Linked DNA regions of Kluyveromyces lactis. The protein of the gene in region 1 binds, or shares a complex with, the protein of each later gene. Links are inferred from orthologs where the notes say so. Each region holds a gene or a part of one and is shown on either strand. Other genes may lie near its edges. The genes, in order: RSM28 and MRPS9.

Region 1 (3,079 bases):
ATACACAATCATTAATTTACATCTTCTTTTTCTTTTCCTTCCCCGTCAGGTTTCGTGAACCAAATATGGGAACTTTATCATGTACATAACGAATTATGTTGGTCAACGGTCTCTATTATTTAATCAAACTCTATTTTATCATTTTTACTATGCAACTTCAAGGCGTTTACGTACGGTGCCTACAGTGCACATTGTAATTCCTAAGTTTACATCTATATATACGTTCGTGTGTGTCATCTGACTCATATTAGGTTCCATCCAATTATTTTTTCGTTGTCATATATATTTCATTCCATTAGTTATGTATGACCGATAGAGAACGACATGGTCAAAGCTATTGGGGAAAACAGAAAGTGCTAAGCTCGATTTAACTGAACCATTATGAACACCTCGCATTCGCAGGAACCTAAGGACAGAAGTGTGAAAATTTCGAAAGCATTGGCTTATTTGCTGAGACATGGTGCTGTGAAGGAAAACTTGCCTATAGATTCTGATGGTTACATTGCATTGGATAGAATACTGCAGCATAACAGACTCAAAAGCTTGAAAGCAACGTCAACAGAAATACAGCATATTGTTGCTAGTAATGACAAGCAACGATTTCATATCAAAACTGATCCGAATACAGGGATAATGTACGTCTGTGCAACACAAGGACATACATTGAAGCAAATTGCTCCATCGCAACACGTTTTAAAACCAATTACCAACATAGAACAACTATCAAGTAAATTGGTTCATGGCACCAACGTATCAAACTGCATTTCAATTCTTCACTCAGGTTTCATCAAAAAAATGTCACGGAACCATGTTCATTTGTCTCCCGGCATTACTGGAAAAGATACGGATGTCATCAGTGGAATGAGAAGTTCTAGTAACGTTTACATCCATATCAAAAGGATCCAGGAAATGCTAGACAGCCTCAACCTTGTGAAATCATTAAATAATGTTTACCTAACTTCTCAGGACATACCGTTGAAATTTATTGATTTCATCCAAGTACGGAAAGGCAGATCTGCAGCATCTAGTGAACAACTTCAACAGCTAAAAAAGTTGGCTACAGAGATGAAAGTTCCAATCGAGATTATCTGAAACGACTTGATCGCTTTATCTATACATATATATATCACCTCTTAATAATTAATTGACTTGTTTTAGACTTTCCACTGACAACATCAATTTTTAGACGAGGCATATCGCTGTATGTACTCGCCGTTGTATTAAGTTCATATCAAAACGTCAGAACCCACCGAATGTTGTATTCCTTCTGTCATCATAAGAAATTTAGATCACGTGTGTTTTTATCATTTTGAACGCCTTGAAAATTTTTGATCTTTCATAAAACCTATGAGAGTGCGAAACTCGTTTCAGTATGATGAACTTGATTAGTTCTTATGGTATCACGGAGATATTTAGGTATAGGGTTGTAATAAACCAGGTAACGCTATATCAAGTTGTGATCTGTTTAAGTGTGTGACTAGCATTAATATATTTACTTAATAATGCTAGCTTCTACATTCTCTAAAAGGGCTTATAGCTCTGTCTCTCCGGACTTTTTAGCATCAGTTTTGCAAAGAGTGAAGGAAGTTCCTATCAAGGCAAGAGAACCACGTAAACCAAGATCTGACAGAAAGGTGAGGTCAGCTGGGAGGGAAGATAAGAGACAAACAGCAAGATTTGATGACAGATCCGGAGGAAATAAACCCAGGGATAATAGACAAGTCCGTAATGGTCAAGACCGTGGTGGTAAAAATTTTAGAGAAAGAACACAAAGAACGGATACTAGAGGAACCAATGGCCCGGTAGTACAAACAGGTACGGCTAAAAGACAGACACCAAAGATTACCGGTACTAATGAGTATAGTGAGATTTCAGGCAAAGTTCAAAATTTGGGTACCAGACAGAATCGTAGAAGCGATGAAAGGAAAACTCGTAAAACCGTTCCAGGGTTGAAAATTTCCAGTAATTTGGGATCGGAAAACGTTGTGCAAAATATTCACAACTCGGCTGTATATGTTCCACAAGATCCAACACCGTTATCGTTGCTAAGATACAGACCTGCTCTGGCTCCAACTTTCAGTGCAAGGACATTCAGATATGCAGTTTCAACACTAAAAGACGCCGACTTCCCTGTGCATCGTTCATTGAATGATGGTGTCACAATTAATGGAAAGAACGTCAGTAAGCGTATGACAGCGAACAAAGACAACTTTGGTGAATACGTGCCAGCTTCCATTTTGAAATTGCAGGTGGAACCGTTGACAAAAAACATCCAAATTTCTCCGGATCTAGAAAAACTTGAGCAATCCGTCAAGGGTAGTTTCCACATTCTCAAGCCATACACAAAGAAGGACTTTGCCAAACTAACAAAAGCAGAAGACAAAAGAGAGCAACTTCTGCAAAATAGCGAAATTGTGAGAAAGAGTTTAGAACAAAGCAACTTGGCTTCAACTGAAAAAGAACTTTTGCAAAAAGTCTGTTCCGGTTTGGCACCAGTCTCTGAATTGACAGCTTGATTACAAGCCAGATCGCCTATAGACAAGATTAACCTCTATTTTTCATGTATATATTTTCACAATGCACTTAATGATATATCACACTATTTCACAGTTCTAAACAACGTTCGATATTGTTTATATTCTGAGTACGATGCCTTAAAATTCCTTTCTTAATCTGTAGATTATATGTTGATTCGTCTTTTCGTCTGAGTAACGGAAATAGGAAACCCGATAACACTGATATTTGAATGGTTGGGGGTATTTTTTCCAAAATTTCTATAAGTAGCCCAGAGTCGTTTATACAACACGTATTCTTGTTAAGGAATTGACTAATGACCCTAGTATTGTTGAGACTTAGATAGTGATCGATAACTTTCAGCACTACCTTATCGTTGGCTTGTAACAAGGACTCCACCGTAGCAAAATCATTCCGTGATAAATATATATCAAGTAGTTTTTCGAACCCGATCTTTTCCTTTAATACACTGATATCTGTGATCATGATTCGTAGAACGAAAGAAGCATCGATATCATCAATAATAGAACCTTCTTTTATATTTAAAGCCTTTTCTATTTTCAGA
Region 2 (3,123 bases), on another chromosome or scaffold:
AACGGTTCTTGTATGTCCTGTGAATACTGTGAATTGTCCAACGAATCCAACTGTCCAGAAGCTGACTTGTCCGGTTACACTCACGACGGTTCTTTCCAACAATACGCTACTGCTGATGCCGTTCAAGCTGCCAAGATCCCAGTCGGTACTGACTTGGCTGAAGTTGCTCCAGTGCTATGTGCTGGTGTCACCGTTTACAAGGCCCTAAAATCCGCCAACTTGAAGGCCGGTGACTGGGTCGCCATCTCTGGTGCTGCTGGTGGTCTAGGTTCTCTAGCTGTCCAATACGCCAAGGCCATGGGTTACAGAGTGTTGGGTATCGATGCTGGTGAAGAAAAGGCTAAGTTGTTCAAGGACTTGGGTGGTGAATACTTCATTGATTTCACCAAGTCCAAGAACATCCCAGAAGAAGTCATCGAAGCTACCAAGGGTGGTGCTCACGGTGTCATCAACGTCTCTGTCTCCGAATTCGCTATCGAACAATCTACCAACTACGTCAGATCTAACGGTACCGTCGTATTGGTCGGTCTACCAAGAGACGCCAAGTGTAAGTCCGATGTCTTTAACCAAGTTGTGAAGTCCATCTCCATTGTCGGTTCTTACGTCGGTAACAGAGCTGACACCAGAGAAGCCATTGACTTCTTCTCCAGAGGTCTAGTCAAGGCTCCAATCCACGTCGTTGGTTTGTCCGAACTACCATCCATCTACGAAAAGATGGAAAAGGGTGCTATCGTCGGTAGATACGTCGTCGACACTTCAAAATAATGAAATCTCTTCCGCATTCAAGTCATGACTTTTTTCACCTTTTATATGTTTCCCTCCTCTCTCCGTTTATATAAAACATATCTGATCATTACTTCCCACTTATTCCGCCTGGTGTAGTGCTACTAGATCAATCCAACTTTATAATAAATCATTTTATAGACCTTCAAAATGAGACACGATATAATACTTTAATTCTTTAGCTCTTTTATAATAATTCTTACCACCCAAAAAAAAGGGAACTAATAACACCATTATACCATTACAGTACACATTGCGACCATCACCCTTAAGGTGAATACATCTGACCCCTAAAACAACTGGTACGTTCCAACTAGCTGACCTCTTAAGTACATCGACAATGTTCGCTTCGACCATCACACTGTACGAGTTGAAGTTCCATGTCTAACTCTGTATACATTGTCACTGGGAGCGAGCCAGACACGGATCTGCATTTCTAGATTGAAAAACTGAGAAAGTGAAAAATTTGGAAAGCTCAACCAGAGGTAGAGATAGAGATAGAGACAGACATAAATTAAGCTGAGCAGTCTTTATCTTAGTCGCCTGAGGTCTTTCGTGAGCAGTTTCCACAGGGATAGAAGGGGAGACTAAAACCAAAGATCAGAAAAATGTTCTCACGTTTAACTGGTGTCTCTTTGAGACAGGGTCTTACGGTACAGAAAAGACTATTCTCTTATGCCAGGCCATTGTTTAACAGCTCGGGGTCTGAGAGGACCGGTTCTGGTTCAAGGCAGTACAATGATGGCGCCCGTGCTGGTGCAGAATATGGTTACACAGGGACTAGAATTGTGCCTAAGTTGTCTACTTTTTACTCCGCCAACCCACATCACGAAGCTCATATCGATAACTTAGAAGCGTTGTTGAGGAAATATATCAAATATCCTACCGTCCAAGTGGAAGAAAGGCCTTCCTGGTTGAGTTTGCAAGAGTACGCTCTAATAGGTGGTGGGTCCCGTTTGAAATCTACCCAGTATAAGCAGCTTTTGTTCATGTTGAACCGTTTGAATTCTATTGATCCACAGTTGGTTACCGATGAGATTTCGAACACTTTAGCGAAATACCATAAGAAGACGAAGTTGCAACCTCAAAGAGATACTTTGAAGCAATTAGACGAGTTTGGTAGAAGTTTGGCCATCGGAAGAAGAAAGACCTCTACTGCCAAGGTATATGTGGTTCGTGGTGAAGGTAAGATCTTAGTTAACGACCGTCAATTAAACGATTACTTCGTTAAAATGAAGGACAGAGAATCCGTAATGTATCCATTAAAAGCCATTGACAGTGTTGGCAAATATAACGTCTTTGCAATGGTTTCCGGAGGTGGTATTACGGGGCAAGCCGATGCCTTGATGCATGCAATCGGTAAGGCATTGGTTGCTTTCAACCCACTATTGAAAACTAGATTGCATAGATCCGGTGTCTTGACAAGAGATTACAGACACGTCGAAAGAAAGAAGCCTGGTAAGAGAAAGGCAAGAAAGATGCCTACCTGGGTTAAGCGTTGATCTGATATTAGTCTCTGACCTTTCCATTAAAAAAAACACATGCTTGTTTCACAAGTCCTGTACATATATAGCAATTTTACATAATTTAACAAGCTCCTTTCACCTTTTACTCTGTCGTCCTACGTTAGCATCTCGTAGTTCCATTAGTCGTAGTTTCAAAAAATCTTGTAGATCCTTGTTCTTCCTTGTTCGTAGTAACATATCTTCAGACGTAACAACATTTCTGTTAGCATGTTGGGCAAAAGCTTCCAAATCACCACCAACCTCACATATCTGCTGGTAAACCAGTTCAGTAAGAGTGTTGACATATTTTGAATTGTATTTTACATCTTCTGGTAGTTCTCTTTTGATAATCGATTCCACATAGAACCACAGCTTCCCGCGTAACTGGGATCGTAATCTCTTCTCTTCATCCATATTTGATCAACTGAACGACGCTACCATGAATAGAGCCCACAGGACAATGCCAAGTCAGGAATTGCCAGCTCAAAACTCTAAACGAACTGCTCAATCGATTGTAATCTTGTATATCTTGCATATCTTGGATATCTCCGCATTCCCAATGCATATCAATTATATTCATGTTTTCAACAGTTTCCAGAATAGAGGCAATTTGCATATATATAACGAAGACAACAGAATGTTTGATATCAGATAAATAAAAGATGGAGATTACAAAGAACAGCGTTAGAAAGTGAGGCGCAAACGTTTTTCGTGAAAATTACTACTTGACGAGACACTAGTGAGGTGTATGCTTGTGAAAATACGAGTCAGGTTATCCTTTTGCTCGAAACTGATAACTTATAGAGACATCTTGTTTTAGGTATTGCAAAAGAAT

Evidence for each region.
Region 2: RSM28 (region 1) and MRPS9 share a complex: the UniProt entries of both Saccharomyces cerevisiae proteins name them as parts of the mitochondrial small ribosomal subunit. The link is inferred for Kluyveromyces lactis from reciprocal best matches to the Saccharomyces cerevisiae genes RSM28 and MRPS9.

Annotation. Positions count from the first base shown.
Region 1 is NC_006039.1:1,053,456-1,056,534, reverse strand, and holds RSM28 (mitochondrial 37S ribosomal protein mS46 RSM28), read left to right. Parts: upstream 1-1,502; coding exon 1,503-2,516; downstream 2,517-3,079. Other genes in the region: TPT1 (tRNA 2'-phosphotransferase), read left to right, coding at 382-1,092; CORVET complex subunit VPS3, read right to left, coding at 2,605-3,079. UniProt on the Saccharomyces cerevisiae protein: Component of the mitochondrial ribosome (mitoribosome), a dedicated translation machinery responsible for the synthesis of mitochondrial genome-encoded proteins, including at least some of the essential transmembrane subunits of the mitochondrial respiratory chain.
Region 2 is NC_006042.1:1,963,239-1,966,361, forward strand, and holds MRPS9 (mitochondrial 37S ribosomal protein uS9m), read left to right. Parts: upstream 1-1,391; coding exon 1,392-2,285; downstream 2,286-3,123. Other genes in the region: KLLA0_F21010g (zinc-dependent alcohol dehydrogenase), read left to right, coding at 1-765; MHF1 (Mhf1p), read right to left, coding at 2,385-2,702. UniProt on the Saccharomyces cerevisiae protein: Component of the mitochondrial ribosome (mitoribosome), a dedicated translation machinery responsible for the synthesis of mitochondrial genome-encoded proteins, including at least some of the essential transmembrane subunits of the mitochondrial respiratory chain.